Linked DNA regions of Drosophila melanogaster. Changing the gene in region 2 together with the main gene of any one other region gives a genetic interaction. Each region holds a gene or a part of one and is shown on either strand. Other genes may lie near its edges. The genes, in order: TBPH and CG32576.

Evidence for each region.
Region 1: of CG32576 (region 2) and TBPH, changing one suppresses a phenotype caused by changing the other (phenotypic suppression), as found in Drosophila melanogaster (one study listed by BioGRID).

What each region holds. Positions count from the first base shown.
Region 1 is NT_033778.4:23,858,560-23,864,667, reverse strand, and holds TBPH (TAR DNA-binding protein-43 homolog), read left to right. Parts: upstream 1-2,074; 5' UTR 2,075-3,221; coding exon 3,222-3,462; intron 3,463-3,524; coding exon 3,525-3,835; intron 3,836-3,892; coding exon 3,893-4,097; intron 4,098-4,152; coding exon 4,153-4,781; intron 4,782-4,840; coding exon 4,841-4,978; intron 4,979-5,050; coding exon 5,051-5,122; 3' UTR 5,123-5,601; downstream 5,602-6,108. Other genes in the region: Cpes (ceramide phosphoethanolamine synthase), read left to right, coding at 320-1,498; bgcn (benign gonial cell neoplasm), read left to right, coding at 5,969-6,108.
Region 2 is NC_004354.4:16,285,188-16,290,363, forward strand, and holds CG32576 (uncharacterized protein), read right to left. Parts: upstream 3,347-5,176; 5' UTR 3,221-3,346; coding exon 3,196-3,220; intron 3,130-3,195; coding exon 3,038-3,129; intron 2,950-3,037; coding exon 2,771-2,949; intron 2,053-2,770; coding exon 1,971-2,052; coding exon of another isoform or gene 1,962-1,970; exon of another isoform or gene 1,737-1,961; coding exon of another isoform or gene 1,489-1,736; exon of another isoform or gene 1,426-1,488; coding exon of another isoform or gene 1,378-1,425; exon of another isoform or gene 1,263-1,377; coding exon of another isoform or gene 1,223-1,262; exon of another isoform or gene 948-1,222; coding exon 903-947; 3' UTR 766-902; downstream 1-765. Other genes in the region: UQCR-14 (Ubiquinol-cytochrome c reductase 14 kDa subunit), read left to right, coding at 1,223-1,262, 1,378-1,425, 1,489-1,736; caz (cabeza), read left to right, coding at 3,764-3,770, 3,840-3,971, 4,039-4,135.

The DNA.
Region 1 (6,108 bases), on a different chromosome or scaffold from region 2:
TCTTTCGTCACTGCGGTCGCTCCCCAAAGTGTCAAAAATTCCTTCGATAAGAACGCATTGCCAGTGGTTAGTTGTTAGCTTTCACTCTTTGATAGCTGAGCATTATTATGATCGCATATACGATTTCAGAATTTCAGAAGGGGATTTCAAAACCCTGCATGTTGCTTGCCAAACTTTTTATGCCGTGCGCGGCTTATCTTGACAACTACTTCGCTTCGATAAACCATATTGATCAGCTTCACTTCTTTCCGCCCCACAGCTGCGCCCTGAAATCAGCCCGATAAGAACTTAGTGTTAAGCGCTACCTCAAAGTGTCACCATGATCGGACCCAGTTCGCAGATCAGCAAGATCCTGCTCACCCTGCTGTTCCTGCTGATCATCTTCTACGTTTTCATGGACGTGGAGCTCTACCTGCGCATCCACAACTATGCCATCGAGAGGAACTATCACACGAATGTCTCGCTGCCCGCCTCCGTCGTGGGTCCGTCCACCTCGGAGTCCGGGTCCGGCAGCATCGGTGGTAGCAGCAGCAGCAGCAGCAGCAGTAGCAGCAGCACCAGTACGAAACTACCCACCGCCGGCGACCGGCAGCCGTCCTACGAGGACCACACCTGGATATCCTGTGATATAAATCCGCTTTGCCATGTGACCGTGAAGGCCATTCTGTTGGACCACACCAACCACTACCTGTTCGCCCCGCTGGCCACCATGTTCGACAACGTGATCGGCTTCTCGCGCTCCACCTTCATCACGCCCAACATGATATCGTTTTTCCATGTGGGCGTGGCCTGTCTGGCGGGCAAACTGGTGGCCTCGGACAGCCTGGGCTATCGGCGGCTGGGCGTGCTGCTCTTCCAGATCCGCACCTTCCTGGACGACCTGGACGGGCATGTGGCGCGCGTGCGCAAGCACATACGCGGCGAGCGCTCGGAGATCGGCACCTCCGGCTACTATGTGGACGGCCTGTGCGACGGACTCGGCTGCATTGCGCTGCTGCTGGGCATATTCTTTTACCTGAAGAACAATCCACCGCGGAGGGGCTACTCGATCATACCCATGAGCGACTCCAAGCTGCCGGAGCCCACCATGATGATACCGAAGATGAAGGCCACCACGCGCAAGGTGGCCAAGAACGTGATCAGCTTCACGGGCCAGCTGCTGCTGAGCTCGACGGCGTGGAATCGCTACATTGCCGTCTACCAGAACATGCTGGAGCGCGAGGACGTGAGCGGCAACCAGTCGCATTGCCAGGATTACGTGTTCAAGTCGACCTGGTTCTTCTGCGTCGCCTGGATGTGGCGCATCGTCAACGTGCACGCCCTGCTGCACTGCGTCCTGCTGAGCATCTTCTGCGACAAGCTGTGGGACTTCCTGCGCGCGATCCGGTACAGCGGTTACATTATCCTGTTAGTTGCTATATGTTTAACTGAAATGCACATTCTGGAGGCCCAGAACTACATTTTCAACTCTACGGCGTGCAGTAATATTTCACTGTGATTTTACTAATATTACGAGAAAATACAATAATATTTGTGTAGTGCAAATCAGCGATGCCTTTTTTAATTGTGTATAAATAATAATGTATCATAATTGTTAGCCAATCATTAATATTTCGAAACCAACTAATGCATTTTGTCATTCAAGCGCGGTCTGCAAGAGCAATCGAAACTCCTTCAGCTGTAAATAATAAATGTTATTGATTAATAAAGTCTAGCTGTTTTTATCGTACGCATTTCCATGGCGAGCTAATTTCGTTTGAATTTATTTATAATGTTTTGTGTTTCGAAATTTCAAATGAACACGATGCGCAATGCTGCCAAGTTTTTTTTTGGTATAGCTGATGGGCAGCACTGCAAGGTTTGGTATTTTATTCGACAGTACCAAATGCCAATATAATTGCCATATTGTAATGTAATATATTGCTTAGATATTCATAGTGGCAATCAACGCTCATATAGTTTAATAAAGAGGCTATTAAAATTTATGTGACAATGCACTGTTTTAACTAAAAATAATACACTTTTAGTATATCTACCCGCCGGCTGGTATTTCTCACTAGCCCTGTTCGGCCACACTGCGCATACGTCAGGCGATACATACAAAGGAAAAGAAAATCAAAACGGAAAGCGAGAAGAAATGCTTCACTCGTCGTTTGAAAATTTGTTAAGCTGTCAATTGTAAATATTACCTGATTCCTATTTCGCACCGATTGAAAGTGGTTGTGCATCGAAGCGTGTGTTGTGTCAAGAACCGAGCGTGGAACGTACAGTGAATACCTGATTTTGCCTGGGTGTGAATCGAATTCGTGTGAGAGAGCGTGCGATCTGAGATCTGGGATCAGAAATCTATATCTACTTGCCATACGCAGTCAGAAATTACAGCAACCAACTAATCCCTGTCAATAGTGTAAGAATTGTTGTGTAACCAACCATCTTTTAGGACCGCCAAACTGCCTCCGTCTACACATTATGTCCTCCCCTCGACGATTGCGTTTGTGTGCGTGTGTGTGTGTGCCACACACTTGCACTCACACACAGACGACAGGATTGGATATTTTCAATTTATGTGGCTTTCATTCATTGATTTTCCAATTCCTGCCGCGATTCCACACTCACAAACGTCAGTTTACTCGTATTAAGTGGGTGAAATATCTGTTTTCTTGAGTAGTTCAAAACATATACATATGTATGCCATACATCGTAAACTTGGGATTGGGTATTCTTCTTTTGTTTATTAACTAAATGTACGTAGAATAGGCATTTAGCCGATGGTGGGACATAAGTAGCGTCTGATTCAGAGAATTTTTAACTAATAATAACGTAAAGAAACGCCTAAACATGAACACTAATAATATATGAATATGTTTGTAATACTTACTAAAATTATATCATCGAAATTACAAGAGATAGAAACATTGTTTATTTGTCGTTTTTAGTAGATTGACCTAGTGTAGGATCCTTTTTGTTTTGGCTTGGTCCCACGAGCAATGTGTGTATAGAGTGGTTCGGGGCAACCTTTTTGTGTTGAATATTGTACCTTGGGATGCATCTGAATAGAACGGATGAACTGAGTGAGTGCATTCATGAATGCAGCGATGCAGAATATGTGGGATGCTTCCGTTGACTGAATGACATGGTGGATCATTTCTAGAGCGAAGTGTGAGCCCCTGCGGCGATAGAGTTCTTTAATCCCCTCCTCGTTTCTAGCAGCCTTCTAGGAAATGGATTTCGTTCAAGTGTCGGAGGAGGAGGGCGACGAGCCCATCGAGCTGCCGGCTGAGGAGGATGGCACTCTGCTTCTGTCCACACTGCAAGCTCAGTTCCCTGGATCCTGCGGTCTGAAGTACCGCAACCTGGACACGAAGGCTGTGCGCGGAGTTCGCTCCAACGAGGGCAGACTGTTTCCGCCCAGCGTGGAGTCCGGCTGGGGCGAGTACGCTTACTTTTGCGTCTTTCCCAAGGGTAAATTCGAGTTGTATGACTCCCTGTTGAACCTTAAATAATTCTGTAATCCCCCCCTGCAGAGAACAAGCGCAAGAGCGACGATAACTTGGAGAACTCAACTGCCAAGACCAAACGCATCGAGACCCGTCTGCGCTGCACTGATCTCATCGTGCTCGGCTTGCCGTGGAAGACCACAGAGGAGAGCTTGCGTGAGTACTTCGAGACCTACGGCGAGGTGCTGATGGCCCAGATCAAGAAGGACACCAAGTCGGGCCAGTCCAAGGGCTTCGGTTTCGTGCGCTTCGGCTCTTACGATGCCCAGATGCGCGTGCTCACCAATCGCCATCTGATCGACGGTCGCTGGTGCGAGGTTAAGGTGCCCAACTCGAAGGTAAGTCCTCTTGTTAGCCCTGCAATTTCACGCCTACTAATCCTTCTATTCTCATAGGGCATGGGCCACCAGGTGCCTTGCAAGGTGTTCGTGGGCCGCTGCACCGAGGACATTAACTCGGACGACTTGCGCGAGTATTTCTCCAAGTTTGGCGAAGTCACTGATGTGTTCATTCCCCGGCCCTTCAGGGCCTTTAGCTTTGTAACCTTCCTTGATCCCGACGTGGCACAGTCCCTGTGCGGAGAGGATCACATTATCAAGGGTGAGTCACTGCCGCGTGGAGAAGAATCAGGGAATTAATGAGACACTTTCCACAGGCGTTTCGGTCCATGTGTCGAATGCTGCTCCAAAGGCCGAGCAGAACAGAAACCAACAGGTCCAGAGCTACAACTACAACTCTGCCAACAGCTTTGGCATGCACTCATACCACCCACAGGGTAACCACATGAATCCGGGCCGCAACGGACACCACCGAGGTAATAACCAACACAATGCTCACGGCGGTGAGAACGCAATTGTGCCCAATAATCACAACATTGGCACCGCCGGCTACGGCATGGGTGGCAACAATTACGGCGGCAACTCGGGCGGGGGCTACCACAACAATGGCGGCAATCACTCCAGTGGCGGGAACACGAACCGCCAGGACGGCGGCAGCCAGTACAACAGTCGCCAGTCGAATTTTCACGGAATGAACCAGCCGCATAACGGCAACGTGGGCGGCAGCAACGGCTGGATGAACCGTGGCCACCTGGACATGCCCAACCTGCAGGCCCTGGGCATCAACTCGCAGGGATCGAGCTCCTCCAACCAGGGCCAAAACATGAGCAACCAGTCAATGCTCAATCTCAACTCATTGCCCATCAATCCCGCACTGGTCGCTGCCGCCTTGAACCAGTGGAGCCTGGTCGGCAACCAGCTGCAGAACCAAAACCAGGACCAACAGGCAAGCCTTCACACCTCAATCATTGTTTCAAACAAAAAACTCTCTCACTTGCTCCGCAGGGCGGCAATTTTCTATCTTGGATGGCTCAGAACGGGGGCCACAACAATGCCAACAACTTTGGTGGACGGAAGGGGCCGAATAACCCGAACAACAATCCGGCCGCCAACGGAATAAAGACCGACAACTCGGAGCCACAGGTTAGAGTCAAAACTGAAACCATCCCCTAAGAAACCTGGATCCCAGCCAGAATCTATTCTACTCTATTCCAGAATGGGAACACCGGTTGGTCGAACCAGAGCAGCGGATCTCAAAACGCCGCGGAGAAGTCAAACTTTCTTTAAGGCGGTGCCTGTCACCCAATGATGTGGTTAATGTGGTTAACCAACACCTCTGTAGCTTACTTAAATTTACATATATGTATTCCACATACAAACCAGTTAAGAATTGTATTTAATATGTAATAGATATTTTGATAATTGTAAACAAGATGACACTGGATGGCTAATAACACAATTGATAAAACACACTTCAAAATAAATTCTGCGCCAAAGCTCAGTAAAAATTGTATCATTGTATCACTTAAGTAGAATTTGATTTGTATTTTGTTGTTTATTAAATATATTTTGGCTTACGCTAAGAAAGTTTAGTTATAAAGATTGTGCACTTATAATGCTGGATCTGCGGAGAATTTCCAATATAACAAAGTTTTCTTTAAGATATCTAAACGAATTTGGCGCAGCCTCATTTTAGAGGAGAATTCATTTAACATGTACATTCATTTCAAAAAATAAAGAATGCAAAAGCATATTAGTACAAAGTGAATCATTTCATTTGAATGGAATCTATGGGATTGTGAATTGAATATTTTAATATATTCCTGTAAAGGAAACTCTCCCGTCTTGGAAACTTATCTCTTATTCTTTGAAAATAACAAAGTATGTTTTATAATTCAGTTTGTAATGACACCTGGATCTTTTTTTTTTACAAATTTCCACTACACATTTGTTTGAGTATATGCAAGGAATACCCTTAATGAGCAAGCTTTGCGCCAGCGAAAATACAGCCCTGTGTTCCATTCCGCCATTTTTCTATTTTCACGACGGTGGCAATAACGGAACTTGCAATTGCCGCGCGCATTGCGGCGCACTTCACTTAATTTAGTGTCAATCTGTTTGAAGCTAGCAGAAATGAACCACATCATCCAGGACAAGTACATTCCGCAACAGCTGCTCTACTTCTTGGCGGGACGGCGCTGCTGCCAGCAGTTCCCGTGCACATTCCGCACCAGCGAGCACGAAGCATTCGCCAACAACGCCCGCTCCTTGGG
Region 2 (5,176 bases):
TCTCAATGTTATACATATGTATATATATAACGTGTGTTCAGAAATCAGAAACAAAAACCGAAACAAACTTAAATTAGTGTCGTGTTCGTGCCAGCCTTAGTGTATGTACAGTGCTCACTCGAAACAGTGGACTATTGAGAACCAAGGGTGTGCACTGAATCGAATTTGTTCACTATAACGAATCACAGAAAAAATAAACAATTTAATATATTTTTCAAAAACACCACGTTTGAAAAAATTTAATTTTTTTACTAAGTTAAGCGAAAGTTTCTAAAATTTCATAAATTAATCGTTCACTTTTACTAAAAAGTTCACATATTCGAGTGTTCACTCTTAAGGGAGGGCACTGTATATATAAAGAATTTGTATATGTTCTTTAATTTGTATAAATTGATATTTTGTAGTCATAATAAAGCGAAGGTATGTACTTTAAAATAAAAACGCTATCAATCATTTTAATGAAGGGTTTACCGTTGGCGGGGGCTTATCGCAAAAAATTGGGGAAATATTATTTAAATGAGAAGTAGGGATTTCCGCTTGTCGAAGCACTCCGCTAATTACCAACATTTTTGCCTTTTTTGTTTGCTGTTTAATATACAATACCCGTGTTGCAAGTTAAGTGAAAGTTGTATATCTTCAGGCATCATTTTTATAATTAATTTAATCGAGGTTATTGGTTAACATAAATTATAACTTAACCCAAATTAAAAACCTTTTTTGAGTGTTTCCCATAACAAATTACAAAAGGAGAAAGCCACAATCATTCGGTTTGATAAACTACAAGTATTTTGTTTATGAAGGCGGATTTTTACATGGGCTTAAATGGGTTTACAAGAATTTGAATTGATTTTATTTACTTTATACAAAAAGTTATTGCAAAATGACCAACTTTGGAGATGTAATTATACTGTAGTTCGGTTGCCGTCTCCACCAAGTTTTTGAACAATCTAAATACAAATACAAAAGGGTAAAATGTTAAAAGATAATATATTTAATAGCTCTAAAACTAAAGAATAACGAATTTTCTTGAGTGCGATATATCGATAGGTGCAGTGTGTCTGTATTACATTTCGGAAATCGATTTGTACAAACGCAACCGTAGTGCTCGTTGATCGATAACGGGGTGCGATAGCTATCGAGAGACCCATCTCCAACGTTCTCATACCTAAAATAAAAAGGCTGGAGGAATATCTCTTTCCCGACTTCTGATTTTACGTAAACCATGTCGAACTATATTGCCAGAAAGGGACCCGCAGTTCTCTGTAAGTAATACGAACGGGCAACAATCGGACTCACGTTGCATGCAACAAATTTCGTAGTGCAGTACGCCGGAATATTATGATTACGTAAATATGTAATGCGAATTTTTCCCCACAGCAAATCTGGGCAGATGGGCCTACAATCTCTCCGGATTCAACCAATACGGTAGGACTACTATATAACCTAGTGATTCCTAACAGCTGAGCTTGATGCCATCGATTTTTGCAGGTCTGCATCGCGATGATTGTCTGTATGAGAACGAGGATGTGAAGGAGGCCGTGCGCCGATTGCCCAGGAAGCTGTACGATGAGCGTAACTACCGCATCATGAGGGCCCTCCATCTGTCCATGACCAAGACCATTCTGCCCAAGGAGCAGTGGACCAAGTACGAGGAGGACGTCAAGTATCTGGAACCCTACCTCAAGGAGGTCGTGAAGGAGCGCGAGGAGCGTGAGGACTGGGAAAAGATCCACTAAACGCGCCACTAAATCCCTCTACTTTGGACTTGTAAATGTTGAAATACATAGCTTAGATAAATACCAAAATTGGCTATGAAATCGAGTCTGCGTGGTCGTTTGGGAATGTGGACCCTTCAGTTTATTTCAATGGGCTTTCGCGTCAAGGCGAGATGAGCGCGTTAAGTGATCATGAGTATGGGCTATTTGCTATGTTATATTTTTTATTTTTTGTGAGGCTCCATGCTACCTTACCTTTTGTATAAATGGTAAATTAAACAGCGATCCTAAAACAGGCACTCGGCCTAGGAAATTAATGGCCACGGGGAAGAAGCCGCTGAAAATATAAAGAGAAGGACATTAATAAGTAATAAGTAAACGACAAATCACTAAAAGAAGTTACTTCCACTTGTATTGCCATCTTGCACGTTTCGAAGTTAAGTTAAATTCTTATATTCACTGAATATTTTCCCTACTTTGAATAGATTTCCATTCATTAATCCGATATATATGAAGCAGACCTTTTAACGTTCGTTAAAAGATATTTTAATGAATAAAAAGACCTACATATATTAGGGTAATTATTAAGTTGCACCTTTGGTCGTAACTTATGAAGAAGCATGCAATTGAAAAGGTAAAAGGAGAGAGGTATAGATAGGAAAAAATGTATAAAAGGACAGAACAGAACAAAACAGACAGAAACAGCGAATAGTTATAATGAAGGACATACTTTTTGCTTTCTTTAGCTCTGATCAAATGCTATAAAATCTGATCGAGCTTTTTTTGTAAGCGAATCTGAAGAATTATACTTGGTATTTGCTGTTAATGCCACAGCGTCAAATTGTCCCATCTACATGACTTGCAGTCTTTCAATTAAAATATAAAATATTTCTAAAGGATGTCATCTGACAGCAACTTTGACTGCCAAGCCCTGACTTGCGAATGGTGTATTAAGAGCGGGAAAGCGAAAAGACCATGTGGAGTGCGTAACCGGTTAGCCCCGCTCAAATGGTCTTAAACGAATCCGACTGGGACTTGGCCAGGGTGCTACGAACCTGAAGAGTGCGAAAAATCCATAGGATTCAATAATCATGCCGAAGATGGGGAATCCCAGCAGGACGATGACGATTCCCCCTAAGAAGGCCGTTGTGCCTTTGACTTTGTGCCGTTGGAAGAAAAAGCGCATCGTGCGCTCCACGCCAATGACGCAGGCCAGGCCCGATATGAATAGAATCTGCGGGAAAGAGGCGATTGCTATTATTATAGAGCTCGAAGGGTGTGCTATATGGGGCATATGGTGCATGTGCATGTGGGTAACGTACATTGCCAATGGCGAGCAGTCCTTTATCGAACAGCAGCAGCATGCCGAGAAACAAAAAGAAAATGCCAAAACCAGCCAAGCCGATGCCAATTTCTGCGGGAAGATTTCAATAGGCGGTTTAGTTGCGCTGATGGCTTTCGCATATTAATGGCTACTTACTCTGCAAATCTGATATTTCAATCATTTTGTATTTGGCTCTGCTTTAATTTGATTTCAGAAAAAATTAAATCCACGTAAACACCAATTCAATTTCAAAGCACAAACAGCTGATTTCGACTTTCATTCAAAGTTACGTGCTAACGACTGTAAACAATGTTTGCAGGGATGCAAGCGCTTTAGTGTTGTAAAGCGATCAAGCTGCCGATTAATTATTTAAAACCTCTTGGATTCAGTCCATTTGGATGCAAATAAATGATAAAATGTATTAAATAAAACTATTTTTACCATTTAATACGTATTTTCCCACAAATATAATATTCGGCATATTTGTGTTCCATTCCCACACATTTCAATGATATATAGATAGATATTTCGATAGGCGCTACAAGACCCACACATACCAGCCCCCTTCGACGCACATCCCTAATTAATTTTCACACGCCATTTTACAATAGAATTTGTGACGATCTGACGCTTTCTTCAATTCGAGCAATTTGTACGCAGCGAGTTATTGAAACTCCTGCAATTCTATTGATTAAAAAAAGACTTCACGCAACGTTTATTAAACATGGAACGTAAGTATAATTTTAACACGCGCATAAGTCGCAACGTGAATTGAAAACGATGAAATATGTGCACTCTAGGTGGCGGTTATGGTGGTGGTTCGGGACAGGGATATAATAATTTCGCTGTCCCCCCACCAAATTACCAGCAAATGCCAAATAAAACGGGTAACTACAACGAGCCACCTCCGAACTACGGCAAACAAGGCGGTGGTAAGGCGTGCATGCGAACTTTGTGTTGCGAGCAACACACCAATACTCACAAACTTATGTTTTTAAGGTTATGATTCCGGTTCCGGTCATCGTGGTTCTGGTGGCAGCGGCAACGGTGGCGGCGGCGGCGGATCATGGAACGACAGAGGAGGCAATTCCTACGGGTATGTTATCCACTTTTAGTATTTCGCTGCTGTTGAGTTACAGCGAGGCTATTTAGATCATGGGTAGTAGTCTTTCACGGAGGTTTTTTAAGTGTTATAAGAGAAGTGTACGCATATATAAATATTTACAAATCAATCCAGCCAAACCAATGAGAAAAGACACCGAGCCACTCCTTGAAACATGAAGCGTATTTTAAAGATATTATTGAAATGCAAGAGATGCACTGTGCTGCATCAGAGTGTGAAACTGCTTGAAGCTATTCCTGCAACTACGACTTGTTCCGACTGCTTAAAAACGCAGAAAACATAAAATTATAACAACAAAAAAAAACGTATCTCCCAATTTGGCAAATTATTATTTATCCGCATGACTGTATTTCATGTACGTTTGTTTTTTTTTCATCGAAAATCTGTGTAAAAATATTAGAAAATGGTATTTCAAAATGGTTTTGACGAGTCAAATGAGTATAATGGTAAAAAAAAAAACAGATGATGCCCTGGGGAAACAAATATCTGCAATGCATAAATAATACTGGTTATACTGAATAAGTAATAATAAGTAATACCACAGTCGTTGCAATCGGAATAATAATGGTCGCCTAATGAAATCTATGATGAATTTGTGATAATTGCATAGAGAATCGCGCACATGTTATTATTATCGTTTTAAACCATACACTATATCATCCATTCCTGCCTTAATACGATACAATGCTAGCATAAACATGTTCCAAAATGAACATTCAAAAAATGTGTGTGTTCCCAACAGGATGGTTATGAAAACCAGATCAAACATGACACAAGTGTAATCGAAGATATAAAGCTAAAAAGAATATAAAAAATATCAACCAGCAATCATAAAATTAAATAAATTGTGGCTCGAGACAAAAACAATAAACAATAAAAAAATTCGATATATTATTAATGCACAGTTCGGAGGAATTGGTATGGTTCTGAGACTCTAATCATCTTAAGGTATTTACGTATACAAAAATAATAACAAATTTTAATTATTAGCTATTAAGGTTATTACATATGTTT